Canis lupus familiaris: one gene and its partner. The protein of the gene in region 2 purifies or fractionates together with the protein of the main gene of each other region. This does not show direct contact. Links are inferred from orthologs where the notes say so. Each region holds a gene or a part of one and is shown on either strand. Other genes may lie near its edges.

The links.
Region 1: the proteins of UBQLN4 (region 2) and GJA1 purify together in Homo sapiens (affinity purification with western blotting; 3 studies listed by BioGRID). This does not show direct contact. The link is inferred for Canis lupus familiaris from reciprocal best matches to the Homo sapiens genes UBQLN4 and GJA1.

The regions. Positions count from the first base shown.
Region 1 is NC_049222.1:61,513,912-61,518,238, reverse strand, and holds GJA1 (gap junction alpha-1 protein), read right to left. Parts: upstream 3,102-4,327; 5' UTR 3,086-3,101; coding exon 1,937-3,085; 3' UTR 425-1,936; intron 383-424; 3' UTR 136-382; downstream 1-135. UniProt on the Homo sapiens protein: Gap junction protein that acts as a regulator of bladder capacity. A gap junction consists of a cluster of closely packed pairs of transmembrane channels, the connexons, through which materials of low MW diffuse from one cell to a neighboring cell.
Region 2 is NC_049228.1:41,748,091-41,752,379, reverse strand, and holds the start of UBQLN4 (ubiquilin-4), read right to left. Parts: upstream 2,850-4,289; 5' UTR 2,796-2,849; coding exon 2,688-2,795; intron 1,276-2,687; coding exon 1,124-1,275; intron 760-1,123; coding exon 542-759; intron 1-541. Other genes in the region: ragulator complex protein LAMTOR2, read left to right, coding at 3,788-3,855, 4,016-4,178. UniProt on the Homo sapiens protein: Regulator of protein degradation that mediates the proteasomal targeting of misfolded, mislocalized or accumulated proteins.

The DNA of each region.
Region 1 (4,327 bases), on a different chromosome or scaffold from region 2:
CCTAATGGCTGTTATTTTTAAAGACTCCTGAAACTTGTCTTACTTGCCTAAATCATCGTAACAATGAAATGTCTTTGTTAATCATGAATAGATGTAATACAAGTTAAAAAAAAAAATCACACAGGATATAGAGGCTATCCTTATACTAAATTAAAACTTTATTGAATAAAGAACACTCTCCAGAACACATGATCTGATGGACTAGGTCTACATTACATGCAATGAAGCTGAACATGACAGTAGTTTAACATGGAATGTCAAACAAATTAGTATTTTTCATTGTACAAAACTGTTTATGTAGCTGACATGCAAGAAGAAAAGTATGATACTCCGCATTTTTACTAATCATCTCTGATGAGTTTTAAAAAGGCATTTGAAGAAACTGGTAGATTTCTTTAGGGTACATTTCAAATAAATTAGTTACATGGTAGATTTCTTTAGGGTACATTTCAAATAAATTAGTTACATGTGTACTACTGAAACCTCTTTCAACCTCTCTTGCATTCCAAATAAAATCTTAGTGCAAACATCAAAGTTGCTGGTCATTCCAAAAGACAATCTAACTCTTAACAGTATACAAGTTCTGAATTAATGTGTATTAAGTAGGACAAAACCAAGAATACCAGTTACTGCAAAATTCATTTAGGCACACTTAAAAGCCCACTCTAAGCATTTCTTCTAAGTGTCTCACATTAATTACTAAAGCCTGTTTACAGTACTAAAATTCTATCATTCAAGCATCCATGATTACATTTCAGAAAAAGAAAATCATCCATTTCAGCAATAGCATTACTGCTATATTCTAAAAAAGAGAAAAAAGGGAAAAAATCATAATTAACAAAACCAGTATCCACAATAGGATACATGGGAAAAAAACACTTAGGGAAAGAAAAAAAAAGTGTGCTTTACTTGCACAGCAGGAATTATATAATGTAAACACCATATTGGCCCACACCACAAAATCCATGAGAAAGGCTCAAATTTGAACACTATGTGTGCATTATTTTCAAATCTGTGTTTGTGAGTTTATACTGCTCTGCTTGTACCAATACATGACAAATAAAACACACTCTTCCACACACATACACATAGAAGTGATTGTTAAATATTGAGCATGGCTTGATTCCCTGACTCTAATTCAAAAAATGTTAAGTGATATCCCCACGGTTTTAAAAATCTTTACAGAAACCATTAAATGAATGTGAACAGTTGTTGAGGAATGATGAAAAAGTGATGGCATTAATAGGATGCAAGTAGATGTTAAAAAAAAATAATGTACATATGACTGGCTGAGATTTGAAAATGCATGGAAAGTCTTTTTTCTGTGGGCCCTATCTGAACTTTTAACTGATACCAAGAATAGAAAATATAGTATCACAAGTCCACAGACACCTGGAGGGTCCCACCTAGGACGCTTACCTTCAAAGTGCAAATTTTAACAATGGAATGTTTTTTAGCAGGGACATAAGGACAATCCTCCAACTTCTTCTTGATAAAAGGAAACAAGATGTCCAGGAAGTATTTTTCTTTTTTCCCGGCCAAAGTTATCTCAGTTTCATGGTAAAACAAAAAAGTACTTAACCAAATATATCACCCACTCTTTCACATATACAGCACTATTCTTAGGGTGTGTGGGGGGGAGAAAAAGCCCTTACCTATGTATCACCTAATGCAACTTATATTTAGAACTAAAGTTCTTTGAATAAACTACATTAAATACCAACTTGTACCTCCCGGTTCCCCTCCCTCTCCACCCGCCTATCCCAAACACCCCCAGTGAACCCAGGTATTCTAATGTCTTTGTGTTTTCTAAGCCTCACGATGAAGGCTGTTGAGTACCACCTCCACTGAAACAAAATGAACGCCTAAGGTGCGCTTTCTACAGCACCTTTTCTCTTCTCCACACTGAGTGGAATCAATGCTCTCAAGCCTGGATCTAGATCTCCAGGTCGTCAGGCCGAGGTCGGCTGCTGGCACGGCTGCTGGCTCTGCTGGAAGGCCGCTGGTCCACAATGGCTAGTGGCTGCAGTTCATGCCCAGCGGCTAGTTTTTTAGAATTCTGGTTGTCATCAGGGAAATCAAAAGGCTGTGCATGGGAGTTGGAGATGGTGCTTCCTGCCTGGCCCATTCGATTTTGTTCTGCACTGTAGTTAGCCCAGTTTTGCTCACTTGCTTGTTTGTTGTAATTGCGGCAGGAAGAATTATTTCTGTCTCCAGTAACCAGCTTGTACCCAGGAGGAGACATGGGGGAGAGGGGAGCCGTGGGTGAGGAGCAGCCATTGAAATATGCATATTTCGGAGATCCACAGTCTTTGGAGGGGCTCAGTGGGCCAGTGGTAGCATGGTAAGGATCGCTCTTGCCTTTCACGCGATCCTTAACACCCTTGAAGAAGACATAGAAGAGTTCGATGATGTTCAAGGCAAGAGACACCAAGGACACGACCAGCATGAAGATGATGAAGATGGTTTTCTCCGTGGGGCGAGAGAGGAAGCAGTCTACCTGATGAGGGCAGGGTTCTCTTTTGCAAGTGTAAACGGCACTCAAGCTGAATCCATAGATGTACCACTGGATCAGCAAGAAGGCCACCTCGAAAACAGACTTGAACAGGATGCTGATGATGTAGGTTCGCAGCAGGCCCCCTCGCATTTTCACCTTGCCGTGCTCTTCAATTCCATACTTGAACTTCTTTATTTCAATCTGCTTCAAGTGCATGTCCACGTTGGCACCATCGGTTTGGGCAACTTTGAGCTCCTCCTCTTTCTTGTTCAGTTTCTCTTCCTTGCGCATCACGTAGAACACATGAGCCAGGTACAAGAGTGTGGGGACAGACACAAATATGATCTGCAGGACCCAGAAGCGTACATGAGAGATTGGGAAGGATTTGTCATAGCAGACATTTTCACAACCAGGCTGTTGAGTGTTACAACGAAAGGCAGACTGCTCATCACCCCAGGCCGACTCAACCGCTGTCCCCAGTAGCAGAATTCGGAAAATGAAAAGGACAGACAGCCACACCTTCCCTCCAGCGGTGGAATAGGCTTGAACCTTGTCAAGGAGTTTGCCTAAGGCACTCCAGTCACCCATGTTGCCGGGGCACCACCTGAAAAGAAACGAAAGACAACTAAATGATCACAGACTGTAAAGTATGAGTTAAAATGTATAGTTGTCTCCAGTTGAGAGTCAAAATAAGATAAAAGGTCTCCTATCTTTCTAGCACTCTTCCAAATTAAAAAAAAAAAAAAAAATAAGTTCAAACTCTTCCTGTCCCATTTCCCCCTGCAAACAAGTCTCACAATTTTCTTGAGATATGGTAAATCTTAGAAGCAATAGAGCCGATGTCCCCAGTAAATGGCAATCTTAACTTGCAAAGGACAGGTTAACTTGCTCAACCACTGCCCCACCATGTGACTCGAAAAACTGTCTATGCTAAGTGCCTCTGCTTATTTTATCCGTCTGATAAATGAGGGCAATTCTTGCCGGGTAGGCCTGTGTCTGGATGCATGCCTAAGCAAAATGCTGAAAGGACGGTTTTCAAAAAGTACAGGTGTTTAAGAACTGAAGTAAGAACGCCCCTGAACACACACACACACACACACAAACACACACACACACAACCTTGTTTCCAAACCTCCATCCTATTATATAGAATTTTATCCCTAATTGTACTCTGAACTGTTTCACCTTGCTCGTTCAAGTGTAATTAGTGCATATTTTATAATAGGGTCATTTATACTTCTCTGTTTCTTCTTAAGCAGTGACTTAGGTGGTTCAGAAGTCTGTCTTCTGCCCAGAGAAAAATATGTTGTACTAAAATACGCCATTTTGACACGATGTGTCATTATGTGCAGGAAACTACTTTCAAAAAAGCAAAGTCTAAATGCACATCACATTTTTTTAAAGATTTATTTTATTTTAGAGAGAGAAAGAGAGAGAGTGCATGAGCAAATAAGCATGAGTGGGGGTGGAGAAGACTCCCTCCTGAGTGCAGAGCCCCACATGGGGGCTCGATCTCAAGACCCATGAGATCATGATGGGAGCCAGAGCGAGCCGGAGACCTGACCCACTGAGCCACCCCGGTGCTCCTGCGCATCACATTTCAAGTAAAAGTTCAATTTGTCTCAATACTAATTATAGCTTAAGAAATTTTTTTAAATTACCATCTTAAAGTGTTATCTCTAGCAAAAATGATTGGTTTTCATCTTTAAATTACTATATACCTTCAAGTTCCCTTATCAGGCTTTGCACCCTCATCCTATACACTAGATTTAACTTTCTATCAATACCTAGATATCTTAAGCCTAGGACTTCCCCATTGTTGGGAGTGTG
Region 2 (4,289 bases):
ACCCTGCCCCCGCCAGGCCACAGCCACTGGTCAGGTCTCCAGATGGGCCTTGTCTGCTTCTCACATCTCCCTTTCCAATCCTTCCCCTGGCCCCAGCCCTGCCCCACTGCTGGCAGAGATGGGAGCCTCAACAACCAAGACCTCTCTGGCAGCAGACGCTGAGAGCCAAGCCCAGCACTGTGCACAGAGAGGGCGACCGACCGTGGTGGCCTGCTGAACGAGCAATAAATATTCCCCAACTGGTCACTGCTGGATCCCCCTGGTCCCTGCACACCCATATCCTCACCCCGAGTTCCCCACATCCGCAATCCCATTTCCTCCCTCCCCCTTTACACTCATCCATGCTCTTTTCCTCTGGGAGGGCCTCATAGACCAGTTTTTCCCTCCTCTGCTTTGCTCAAGTACCAGTGTCTGGAACTCCATGTCCAGGGGTCCCCTATCCCCATCAGACTAGGAGCAGGGACCGTGTTTCTGTCTCCTCTTGGCTCTCCCCTAAGCCCAAGCCCCACACAGGACTGTGATCTCCTCCCTAAGGGCTTACAGAGTATGGATGCAGTAGCACTGGGGGGTCCCTCCCCAGCCCCAGGGGAGGGACCCCCCCCACTGCTCCTCCGGCTTCCACTGCCAGCATCTGAAGTGGCGCTGCCAGAGGTGGAGGGCTGTGCAGGGGTAGCAGGTGAAGCAGGAGTGGTGGAGGGTGCTGAGGCAGGGTCTGGAGTGGAGGGGGAAGAAGCAGTAGCAGCAGCTGGATCTTGAGCCCTGAGAGACAGAGAGATAAAGTCCAAGCTGAAGTGAACAGGAAGGAGAGAACAAGGATCTCCTTTTGGTGCAGCTACTGCCCTAATGCCACCACCTTCTCAGCAACCCTGGGCCAGGTGGTGGTGGGGTAGGGGGGTAAGGGGGCTCCCCCAGCCACAGGGGTGCCGCTGGGGGCAGTATCATCTGCCAGCATTCTGGGAGAGCTACATCAGGTTCCTTTCCCCTGTAGGGGAGCCGTCCAAGGGCCACCTTCCTGGGCACTGGCATGGCCCTCCAGGTAGGTGAGCGACAGGTAAGAATGTGAGTACCAGAGGAGGAAAACAGGCCCAGTGAGAAGTTGGATCTACTCCTCTCCTGGACTTACTTCTGAGGGGTCTTGATGACCAGATGGACAGTGAGCCCATCCTTGATCCCATGCTGGTTCAGTGTGTCCCCGTCCTTGAGGATCTTGCCTGCGAAGATCAGGACCAGCTGATCCTGCTGAGCCTTAAACCTCCTGGAGATTTCCTCTTTGAACTGTGGTCAAGAGGCAGAGGTCACTGCAGAGGTTCCCTGGGCCCCACCCACCAGGGACCCTGCCTCTAGTTCGGGAAGTCCCTTCTGCAGTATAGACTCCATCCATCCAGCTGCAGTGAGCTGTGCCTTCATTAACCAGAGATGGACTAGTGACAGGCTCCCCTGGGCTCAACCCCAGGGTCTCCCACCCTAGAAGGCCCAGCCTTCCCTGTGACTCTCCCCTCAGTCCCTCCCCGCTGCTCCCTGTGGTGACAGCACTGCCCTGGTGGCTCTCTTGGTCCCAACTCCTTCAGCAACCTTGGACTCAGACCCTGACCCCTGCAGCGTTCCATTCTAGCCACCAGGTCTCTCTGCCCAGGCCCAGCCTTCTCGTAACAAGGACAACACACGGACCCCACAATCATCGCTAAGAGCAGCGACCATTCAGAAGTGAAGGGTCGCAGACTGATAAGATACACATGGGTCGTTATCTCCACTTTCAGGCGAAGAAAACTGAGGCTCAGAGAAGTTATGTAACTCACTCTGGGCAGACTGGAATTCGGGTCCTGACACCAAAGCCCTGGCTCCTGACCCAACACTCGGCCTCTCCACTCGGTTAAAGCTGATTCCAAATTGAGCTCTGCAGGGCAGAGGATGCACACTCTGGAATGTGGTCATTTCACATTCCAGGGGGGCAGTGATGGCACTAAAGTTTGGCTTGAGGAGAGGCAGGCCCCCAAATCTACTAGCTCTCCCTCAAACCAAGCCCAAACACGTCAAACAGGCCACTCTCTGTCAAGAGAGTGCACTTGCTAAGCCAAGGCAGCGTCCAGATCCCTGCCTTCCAACCAGATGGCCTCTCTAAAGCCCCGCCCATGTGAAATTCTGGAGCAGCCACAGGGGGTGGCGAACACAGGAGGTGTTCCCTCATTCACTCGGTCAACACACTTTTATTGAGCACCTACTGCACACAGCAAGTTCCGGAGGGGCGAGGGCCAACTGTAAGGGCCTTGATTTGAAAAGGTAGGACGGATCAGGGCGGAGGGAAACGCTCCCCCAGCACCCCGCGCCCCAGTCCCGGGCGCCCCCGGGCGCCCCCGCCTCCCGCGGCCCCTCGAACCCCGGCCAGCCCCCGGACGCACGCGGCCCGCATCCCCAGTGTTTCTCCCCTCCCCGCTGCAAGGGGCCCCCTCCCCGCTCTCCGCCACGCCCCCAGCCCAGGCCACAAGGCCAGCCCCGGCCTGGCATCCGCCGCACGCGCCGCGTTGGCCAGCGCCCCCCCAGGGGGCCCCCCAGCCCCGCTCCTGCCCCCCCGCCCCTCCGAGAGCCTGCGGGGCCCCCGCCCCCTCCGCCGCCGGCCTCCCGCCCCCCCCGCCTCGGGGCCAACCCCTCTCCGCAGATCCCTCCTCCGCCACCCTCGCCGCTCGTACTACCTCCTTGACGGAGGCCCGATCGCAGATCACTATTTCCTCCTTGTCCTTGGGGGTCTTGACGGTGACCCGAATGGGGGGCCTGGCCTCGTCCCCGCTCGGCTCCGCCATGCCGCCGCCGCCACCCGGCCGCCCGCCAGCCCGCCCCGGCCCCTCCTCCCCGCTCGGCCGCCCGCCCGGCGGGCTCTGCTCCGGCCTCCGCCCCTCCGCCCCTCCGCCCTCCCCTGCCCTGCCGGCCCCTCCCCTCCCCTCCTCTCCCTTCCCCTCCCCTCCCCTCCCCTTCCCGCGGCCGCGCCGCCCTCCGGACCAGTTGCGCTCACAGCGCCCCGGGCGGCCTGGTGGGGGCACTGCAGCCGGGACCTCTCGGGGGCGGGGCCTCTCTGGGCGGGGCGGGCCTCTGGCCTCCAGCGTGGGCGCTCCACCATCCCCGCCCGCCACCTACGCGGGGACTCAGGCTCCCGGACCTGACGCAGTCCCCGTGGCCGCCCCATTCTCGGGGCTCCCGGGCCGGAGTCCTTCATGCCTGGACGTCCCCCCAGAGTCTCACCTCTGGGACCGACCGTCCCCCCAGGGGTCGTGGCCTGCACGGGGTTGGCTAAGGACGGCTCCCAAGGGAGCCAGCGTGGGCTGGGTTCGGCCGGCGTGGACTTTCTGAGCCCCGATCCCGACCCCCAGGGTTGTGCACGGCGTAGGAAACTGCCCTGAAGAGTAATCGAACGTGTGCCTGACCAATACTGGGATTTCTTTTTCAGTTAGTGGTCAGGGATTGTAAAGCGGGCATGCTGACTCTTCTTTCCCCGGGATGGGGGTAGGGGGTGTTAAACGTCCTTCCAGTCCTGCCAGGTCCTTTCGCTCCCGCTCTTCCCGCCCCCCACCACCACCGCGTGGTTCCCCTGGAAAGGCGAACTACACTTCCCGGGGTGCGCCGCGAGGCCGCATGAAACTACAAGTCCCGGCGCCCCCCGCGGCGGAATGGCGTGGCGGCGTTGCGTCGCCGCCCCCGAGCCCGGCCGGGACCTCCGGAGTTCGGGGAGGCTCCCGCGGAGGCCCGCGGGAGGCAGCTCAGGGGCTGGCGTGGAAGCCCAGACCTGGGAGCCGCAGGCATGCTGCGTCCCAAGGCTCTGACCCAGGTGCTGAGCCAGGCCAACACCGGCGGTGTCCAGAGCACGCTGTGAGTGCGACCGGGGAGGACCCCGGGGAGGGAGGGTCTGGGGGGCGCGCTCTGCCCTGACCCCCGCTTTCTCGAGGCGCCCGGCGGGAGGCGGGCTGAGAGCGCAGCCGCCTTTGTCGCCGCCCCCAGCCCATCTGTATCCCTTGCCGCCGCTCGCCAGGCTGCTGAATAATGAGGGGTCCCTGCTGGCCTACTCCGGCTACGGGGACACGGACGCCCGGGTCACCGCGGCCATCGCCAGCAACATCTGGGCCGCCTACGACCGCAACGGGAACCAGGCGTTTAACGAAGACAATCTCAAGTTCATCCTCATGGACTGCATGGTACGGAGCAGGGCCCACCCCCTGTCCCGAGGGGTGCCATGGGGCCACCTGGACCGCATCCTGGGGTTGGAGGGGCGGGGACGGGATCTCCGAGGGTGGCTGAGGGCTGGT